Caenorhabditis elegans: one gene and its partner. The protein of the gene in region 1 purifies or fractionates together with the protein of each later gene. This does not show direct contact. Each region holds a gene or a part of one and is shown in the gene's direction. Other genes may lie near its edges.

What was found.
Region 2: the proteins of htp-1 (region 1) and Y54G11A.7 fractionate together in Caenorhabditis elegans (co-fractionation; one large-scale study listed by BioGRID). This does not show direct contact.

Annotation. Positions count from the first base shown.
Region 1 is NC_003282.8:5,389,168-5,393,723, reverse strand, and holds htp-1 (HORMA domain-containing protein), read left to right. Parts: upstream 1-2,166; coding exon 2,167-2,232; intron 2,233-2,278; coding exon 2,279-2,426; intron 2,427-2,472; coding exon 2,473-3,206; intron 3,207-3,254; coding exon 3,255-3,365; 3' UTR 3,366-3,535; downstream 3,536-4,556. Other genes in the region: ZK616.5 (uncharacterized protein), read right to left, coding at 682-778, 823-896, 943-1,083, 1,134-1,199, 1,247-1,325, 1,371-1,433, 1,479-1,552.
Region 2 is NC_003280.10:14,295,759-14,300,685, forward strand, and holds Y54G11A.7 (Tetratricopeptide repeat protein 38), read left to right. Parts: upstream 1-1,546; 5' UTR 1,547-1,549; coding exon 1,550-1,748; intron 1,749-1,793; coding exon 1,794-1,959; intron 1,960-2,008; coding exon 2,009-2,182; intron 2,183-2,502; coding exon 2,503-2,698; intron 2,699-2,746; coding exon 2,747-3,093; intron 3,094-3,455; coding exon 3,456-3,777; 3' UTR 3,778-3,863; downstream 3,864-4,927. Other genes in the region: ctl-2 (Peroxisomal catalase 1), read right to left, coding at 3,899-4,429.

The DNA of each region.
Region 1 (4,556 bases):
GGAATAGTGATCAGTGATACAACAAAGATCACATGTAACAGATTCATAACTATTTTTTATTCCAGGATTTTGAATTCCGCATTCTAACCTACTGCCCGAACGATTTCCGTGAATATTTTTCAACACAACAAGTGAGAATCGAGACAATTTTCTGGAGAATGTTTATTGTGATTCAAAAAAACCAGAAGGAATTGAAACATTGACCAGAGGAAAACAAAAACAAAAAGGAAAAGAGAGAGCAGACATGGGACAGACATTCGGTGAAAGCTCAAAAGTTATTCTGCTAATGCAGACTTCTAGCCTAAAAGGATGCGTATGAGGTGATGGGTACAGTAAAAATGGGAAAATATAACAAAGGATCGAATGGTCAATGAGGATCGGATGAACGTTTCATAGAAAACAATGTGAAATTAATTCAACCTTCCAATCATCGATGGTAAATAACCTTCGATCGTATTATGGATTAATAATGGGGAAAAAGCTCCTGACTTAGAATCATGGAAAATACAATGTTAGAACTTCTTAACCGGTACAGAGAAAAATGAATGACGGGGGTTTGATTACGGGCATGATGGGAGTGAGAATATGACAGATAATATGAGAATGATACATTCTTAAAATGAGGAGCAACTCAGGCATAAGAAATATGACAGATTGAGAGAAGCTGGAGAGGGAGATCATTCATGGAGAGTTGTACCAATTGCCACCTTCTTTGTACGACTTCTCGTTGTTGCAGTTAGGCGCGGTAGGAATCAATGGGTACAGATAGTAAACCCACCTGGAATGATAAATTTCAGTTAATTAATTGATTTAGATACTCACTGTGGATATACGAGTTCCTCGGATTCCTCCACAAAGCCACAAATACTCGAATCGTTCGAATTGTTGGTACCGTTCTACAAAAATACATTACAGCTAATGTTCAATGAAACTTTCTGGTACCCCATCATCGATAATCAGGTCCTGTGCGACAGGCTCGTCGATTCTTTGTCTCTCCACTTCTACTCGAGGCTGTGCCCTCTGAAACGGAATCGGCGCAACGGCGGGTGCTGTAGTTCTTGTCCTTCTATCTTGTGACAATCTCTGAAACCAAGGTTTGTCTCATAACGAAAATATGAAGAAAATAAACTCACTGGACCGGGAGTAGCCGACCGACGCGACATGCGGGATGTCTGAGCATTTCGGGACTCGTTCATCAGCTAAAACAAGAAAAATTAACTTTTTTTCGGTGTACTACAGCACTCACTATGATTTCGTCCGGATAAGATGGCCACGAGTCTGGCGATCCAAGGGAATAAGCACCTGTAGTCACCCAGTCGTACACCCTGAAGAATAAGTAAATTAGGAACATTTAAAAATTAGTTTCATACGTTTGTTGCCTGGCGACCTCACTGACTGGACCGCTCCAGATTTTGTCCCTGTATGCGCCTTTGCTGAAAAGAAAGTACTCGAAAAAATGACATTTTTTATTCAAATACCTCGGGGAGTGCTCTTCTCTTGGCTTAGAACTCCAATTCTGTCTCGTTTGATGACGTCCTCGATAGTTTGGCATCTGAAAACAATGATAAACGTTTTTTGAGCTTGAAAGGAGAAAATTTAGGCAAACTCGTCCAAAAATGAGAATTCAGACCGTTTTAAAAATAGCAAACAAGTTACAGTAATCAAAGGAGCAGTCAGTAAACTAAATTTAGGCCTCACCACGAGTTAGCGAATTTCACTTGCATTTGCGTATTTTTAAAGAATAGTACTTTTTAAAATTACCTCTAGTAATCAAATTTGTTGACAGTTTTGAAATGAATGAAAAATTTACTTTAAAATAAAAGGAAAAGCTGCATTTAGTCAAAAATTATTTGAATAGTTTTGAGCTTTTGTAATTGCGTGGCGAGACCAATGGACTTACCCAATCCGATGTACCTTTAATTTAGCATTTTATTTGCATTTTTGAAATCCTAAAATTCTTTCCTAGGCTTTCGAAATTGACGATTTTCTGTGTTTTTTAAAATTCAAATATCGTTTCCTAGTTTCGAAAATAATTTTTCGTTTTTTAGTGTATCATTTTAAGCTTGTCATTGGGTTTTTTCTTTCTTTGCATAGTATTCCTCGAGGAATTATATTATATTTCACATTTACAAACTCTTGCCTAAAAATGAGACTGTTTTTTTGCAGATGGCGCCCTTGGAAACCATCTACGACGAATCGCTCAACAAATCGGCGGATTCCATTGATGATAAGGTTTTTTTCATGGTTTTATGGCCATTGTAATTTTTTTCATCTTTAGAAATGGTCCAAACTTTTCCCAAGGATTGTCAGCGACCCGGATCGATCATCCAATTTCATGACCAGAGCAATCTACGTCGCGTTTTCGGCTGTTCTTAGGAACCGTAACATTCTTGGACAAGAATATTTCACGAAGAATTACATCACTGGTAAATGTTTTTCTTATCACATTTTATAGTAAATGTTCTTTTTCAGAAAAGCTGAAATGCATGACGCTGTGCTTCAGAAACCCACGGTCTAACCAAATCGCTCAACTACTTCGAAATGCTGGGGATGCAACAAAGGATGGGTTTCTGAAAGAAGTCTCCCTCGTGATCACAAATAATGAAGGAGATCTTGAAGCCATCGAAGTTTTCTCTATGAAGTTCATTTATTTTGAGAATGGCGGCGTGGTTGCTCGTCTGAGCACTGACAAGAATGGCCAGGAAGATCCTCACTTCGCAAAGCTTGCTCAACTTGTATACGAGGGTGGCGACAGCGTACGAGATCAAATGGTGACGATTGTTCGCAGTGTTCAGTTCCTCTGCACAAAAGTTCTCGAACCGTTGCCAGAAGAATTCACGGCTAATTTTCGATTGGAGTACACAAACGATGCTCCATCCAATTTCCGCATTGATGGCTTCGAAGATTCTTCCACTTTTTACACACTTCCTGATGATATCCAATCGGCAACCATTGGTCACTTGCGCCCAGGATGCCACGCTGCAAACATGGAATGCTGGAGCATGTTGATGTCCGATTCATACGAAGCAGAGTTGACTCTCAAGCGACACCTGGACAAAGTTTCCGATAGGCATGGATTCAATCCAGTGAATGTGCTGTATAAATCGTTTAATTCGGAGGACAGTGACACAAGTCTTAGTCAGGCCACTACTGAATCTGTCAACGATCAAGGAGGAAACGAGACTTCTCCGGTGGATGATATAACTGTTAGTTTATTAGTTTTTTACATATAAACAAAAAATTTAAAATTGTAGGAGTCTCTCGAGAAAGCACAAATGTCGCCTATCCAGACGAGACCAACTACTCGCAGAGGAGCCGATGGCAGCAAAACCAGATCGTCTCCATATTCTCGTTCCTGTAAATAATTTTTTTCCTAGCTTTCAATAGATTATAGCTTCATTCTGTAACTTGGCATGTTCTATATCATCGTGTAAAATGTTTTATTGTCTTGAGTGTTTCCTTTCTGCTCCATTATTGTATCCTTAGTTTTTTTTATTCAAATTACAGTCATTCATAAATAAATCGACTGGTGTTATTAAATAGCATGTTTCCCATGACTCCATTTTCAAGATACTCCAGTGCATTTCAGAATTTTTCAACAATTGACCAATCTAAAAAGGATTCTCTCTTTTCTTCTTCTGCTGGATACCGCTCCGAGTATCTTTCGGTAAATCTCGAAATTCTCTTTGTATTCACCATTCATGCTGACCTCGATAACTTTTCTCAAGGTTCTTTGCTAAAATTTATGTGGTTTGCAAGGGAACGTGGCGATTGTTGATTGTTGGTTTCAAGTTTTGAAAAAAAACACAGTTTATTCTACTTTTCAATGTCAGACGTCACAAAATTTATCAGAAAAAGCTTTTTTATTGCAGTGTCTGAAACAATTTTATGTAGTATTCAGGTTGATTGTAGTCGTTTTAAAGGCGCGTGCTACTTTAAATTGGTCTCGCCACGAAAACCATATATTTGTATGTTCTGTTAAAAAATCACATTCTAGCGAACAAATATCTCAATTTTCATTTAAGAAAGAGCAGTCGCGCCTGTCGCCAACAAAATGGATCGTGGCGAGACCTATCGAGAGAAAAATGTTCTTTTGAAGTGGAGTCTTCAGATTTGGCGAATTAATTCACGAATTCACGACTGGATATTACCCAGACACAAAATGTTGTAATTTTTTCGCCAAGAATACCAGGTCATGGGATTAAAAGGATTAAAGATTAAAGAATACAATTTTTGATTAAAAAGATTAAAAATACAATTTTTTATTTCAGAAAATACTGGAAATTCAAACTCTTCTTAATAAAAAACTTAATTTTTATCGATTTTTCATAGTATTTTGGGAAAAATTAATTGTACTTGTATTCATTAAAAAATCTCTCAATGATAATAATAAGAACACATTAATTTTAGCAAATCACATCGATTTTTAAAAAAATCTGCAGCAACGTAGGTTTGGGATTACAGTACTCTTTAAAGGCGCACAGCCTTTTGCATTAAACTCAAATTTTTCGTGTCAAGACCTGGTATAGTATTTTTGGCGCACAAATCACAAAATT
Region 2 (4,927 bases), on another chromosome or scaffold:
GTCAAAGTTCAGAACACGCGATTTTTTCATAATCCGGGAGATATCGGCTGCGATATGAGACATACAAGACGGATGAGTTTTAAATAACACAATTTCGCAGCCGACATTTTACGGGGAAATTTCGACTGGCATCACAGTTGTATTGTGCTGCTTTTAACGACCCTGGAGACGTCGGTTGCTTTTATAAAACCTGTGAACTTCTAGGCACTCTCTAAAAATTAGTCACTGCTGGCTTAGTTATACTCAACTTTTCTTAGACTTTATAAATAAATTTTGGCCAGCGAGATGTCGGCTGATGTATCACTGAAAATGGGATATTTTTCCCAGGAACCCGGGAAATGTCAGCCGCAATGTAAAAACCAGTTAGGTGTCGGCTGCTAGTTATCCAAATATAATGTCGGTGGATACATGCTCTATATTATACACTTCCCATCAACCCGGGAACAGTCCGCTGCTGATGCCGTTTTGACCTGTAAAGTGTCCTGGGAAGATGTCGGGTGCTTTTTTTTTAATATCAGTTAAATCATAACACTCATTTTGACCCGTAAAGTGTCGTCTGCTAAGCTATTGTTTCCTGTATAACCCTGAAAAATGCCCTTTTTCCCGAATTGATTGTTTGATTCTAAAACCGTTTTTTTCAATTTTTTTATCAAACCCCAACTAATCGTCAAAACTTTCACGTATTTTCCAGGTGTTATCAACATCAGTATCACAAATGTCCTGGACACACAAGCTTACCTATTTCTTTCCATTTTGCATGTATGTTGTTTTTGTCCCAATGAAGACGCACGTGCTATATCTGTTTGTCGTCTAGTCGTCTGGCACTCTCTTCTAGACTGCATACTCTCTAATTGTTGACCCTTCTTTTCTTGTTTTCACTTTTCCTTTTTTTAGATTTGGCAGTTTTAAGAGGTTTTTGAGAGGTTTTTTTTCGAGAATTTTATATGGTTTTTTCGCATTTTTGGCCGTTGATAACGTGGTCTTTAGATTAAAAATCGTAAAAATTTGGAATTTTTTAGAAAATCTAAAGTGCAAATTTTACTAATTTTTATGTTAAAAAGCTATGATTGAAGTTATACTCCATTTTATTTCTCATAAGGTCACAATTTTTTTTCTCAACAACTGTGATTGTCTACTAACTTTGGGTACTTCAAAATTGCTACAGTATATCAAAAATCGCGAAAAACTAGAAAACTGGTGATCACAGTTCTTTAATGTTTATTTTTTTACTTTTTCATGTAAAAATAAAGTCTAAAATCAGAACTGAATAATGTAGAGCCATTTTTGGAAATTACCGAAAATTTTGAAATTTCCTACCTAGCGAAACTTGCGCGTAGGATATGTTGTTTTCCGTGCCGATTTTATTATGAATTTAGTTTCGAACGGAGCAACTCTATGTCAACAGTAGAATATCGTGCTTTTTCAATGCAAAAAAAATCCGAAAATTCTAAACTTTCCTATCAAGTCCTCCCTCCCCCACTTGCATCATCTAACCCCGTCATATCGTTCATTAGACCTACCGCCCATTCCTCCTCTCTTCCTTCAGAAAATGGCCGAATGGTGTGCCGATCATTTGCGCAATTGCGAAGGCTGGAAGTCGGCTGGTCTGGAACTATCAACTACGAGTGATGAGAATGCGAAATGGTTGGATGCCTGCATTCGACAGCTTGTGTCCTGGTCGGATTGCACCAGTTTAGGCGGATTTCATACATCGATCGAGAAGCTTGTGGCTTCGGATCCTGAAGCAAGTTAGTTTGTTTTTTGTTTAGCACTTGGAGTCTCTGAATTTTCAGTTATGGCCCGAACTTTCCTAGTGGGCCTCTCCGGGCTCGGCACAGAAGCCGCTGCTCGAAATGTCGAATTTGCCAAGAAAATGGATCAACTAGAAATTGACGCTGAAAAGTATGGAAACGCCAGAGAAAAGCGACATGCCAAAGCAGCGATTTTGTGGGGAAGAGGGTAAGGGCTCCTTTAGGAGATATTTTTTTGAAACTTTCCTGTTTTTCAGAAAGCATCATGAAGCTGCCATCGAGTGGGACAAGCTTCTAGATGATTACCCAACAGATTTAATTGCAGTGAAGTTCTCACACGATGCTCATTTCTTCAATGGAAATCAGATAGGGAAGAAGAACGCAATTGAGAAGGTTATCCACAAGTGGAATGCAGATTTACCATGCTATAGGTGAGATTTAATTGTTTCTATTTTCGAAATATTTTAGTCTCTAAAATTGGTTTCATTTTAAAATAGCGCCATCTACAACAAGAAAACTGTCCTAGTAAGCGCTGCGTTCAGATTTTCCGAATTTCAAAAAACCAATGCGTCTAGAGTGGGATTTGAATCCATCTAAATAAAAGAGGTTATGGTTCATAAGGTCTAGGAGTTCAAGCTAGGTTCAGGCCTATTCACAACTAAATATGAAAATTAAAACAAAAATAACTAAATAGGTTTTATATCTACATGCTTCGAAACCGGCTTCTATCCCCAACATTTTTTTTCTTTAGCTATCTCCATGGCATGTATGCTTTTGGCCTTGAAGAATGTGGTATCTACGATGATGCTGAAACACAAGCAGATCGGGCCCTACAACTGAACCGATTTGATTGCTGGGCTTCCCACGCAAAGGCTCACGTCCTCGAGATGAACGGGCGGCACAAAGAGGGAAAAGAGTTTATGTACAAAACGGAGGATGATTGGAGGGTACTTTTCAATCTATTCAATTAATTGTAAATATACTTCCCCTTTCAGCAAGGTTGGATGCTAGCCTCTCACAACTACTGGCACACGGCACTATTTCACATTGAGTACGCAGAATATGAGTCAGCGCTGGGGATTTTTGATCGAGAAATTGCGAATCGATTCAACAAAACCAACTCCTTGCTAGACATGGTTGATGCCAGCTCACTGCTGTGGAGGTTAGAACTGGAAGGTGTCAATGTTGGAAGGGATCGGTGGAGGAAGATAGAGCATCTGTCGAAGTTCATCGACAATCACTCAATTGTGTTCAATGATGTGCACCTAGGGCTTGCAATTTATAGACAGGAGGATTTGGAGACGGAGAAGAAGTTGAGAAATTCATTGGAGAAGTATTCATCGTGAGTAACACTATCCAGTTCGCCTTATCCGAAAAGAGAGAAGCTACAAATCTATGAAAGATTTTGACATGTTGTATGTACTTGGTAGGCATGTGGTGTCGAGCTGTCCCATTTCGATTTGATTTACGTAGATCTACGAGAATTGCGGGAATTTAGACGCAGACGTCTTTGCTGATTTCGCATGATAAAGAACCTGCTGACGTCACATTTTTTAGGGAAAATTTCCCGCATTTTTTGTAGATCAAACCGTGATTGGCGAAAATTTAAAAACGTTGTATCGAAAGGTGTTAGGATATGTGGAATTAGATGTGATAATCAGCTCCTAGGTCAAACTTACCACATATCAAACTATCATTTTTCAGGCTGCTATCCGAGGACAATGCCCAAATCAGCAAGACCATCGGGATGCCCCTCTACGACGGGATGCTTGACTTTGCCCGCTGCGACTACGACACAGCTGCCGAGACTATGTACCCAATTCGCGATAAAGTTGTCCAAATCGGAGGATCTCATGCCCAGCGGGACCTTTTCGTTCAGACACTGATACAGTCTTGCATTCTGAGCAAGGATCCCAAGAATTGGGCTTTGACGCCTGAGCTGCTGGTGGAGAGGGAGACCCTGAAGCATGACTCGCTGTTGGGCCAGAGGCTTGCTGATAAGTTTAGAGCTTTACATCCGCTGTGAGTTGGTGGAGAGTTTAAGTTATATTAACTTTATTTATTTTTAATTATCATATTTTTTATACACAATAAAGCAAGTTATTACAATAAAAAGTACATTTAATTTCTTTTAATTTCAAGAAAGTTTAGATATGAGAGCGAGCCTGTTTCTGGATGAGTGCCTTGACACGAGCTCCAAAATCTGGATGAACCTTTGAAAAGTGATCGATCATTCCCTTAATAATGAAATCATGACATTCCCCGAGCGGCCCTGCAAAGTTCTGGCACATTCTCTCCCGAGCCCCGGTATCCAACACCTTCTCCCAGAATTGACGGGGTTGATCATAGTTGTTGTCATCTCCACTTTCATAACGATCAACATCTCCAGTGGCTGGGAATGTGGTATCCTTGACATCCGGACGAGTCTTTCCATAGTTGAAGCTGTTCGGGAAGAAGTTTGGAGCATGTTGCTGATTGTCATAAGCCATTGCACCATCACGCTGGGTGTTATGAGCACGGGAGCGGTACGGGCAGTTGACTGGAAGCTGGATGTAGTTTGGTCCAAGGCGGTGGAAATGAGTGTCGGTGTACGAGAAGATACGTCCTTGGAGCATCTTGTCTGGCGAGAACTCGATTCCTGGGACGATGTGGGCCGGGCAGAAGGCGGATTGTTCAACCTGGAAATAAAGTACTGTAGGATTACTGTAGTTTTGGAAAAACGTTTTTGTGTTTCCCAAAACTAGCTATTCACGTTGAACTCACGTGGTGTCAGAGTGTCTCATTTCGGCTTGATCTACTTTGATCTACAAAAAATGCGGGAGAAGAGACGCAAGGTTTTCAACTGATTTCGCATGGTTAAGAACTTGCTGAAGTCTCATTTTTTGTGCAAAAAAAATTCCCGCATTTTTTGTTGATAAAAAAAAAACAAACCATAATGGGACAGTCTGGCACCACGTGAGAGCTATCAATTCCGTCTTATGGGCCCTAGTTTCTCGTTAGAGCGCAATTGCATGCCTTACCACACTTCACACGGTAGCACAGAAACTAGATGGCTTGGTTCATGATAATCAGTCTAAAAACCTGTATTGGCTGCTATCTCGAAAACTAACCCAAATTTGGATTTTGCGATGCATATGAAAAATGGCCGCAAGAAAATTTACTCGTTCGGTAGAGCA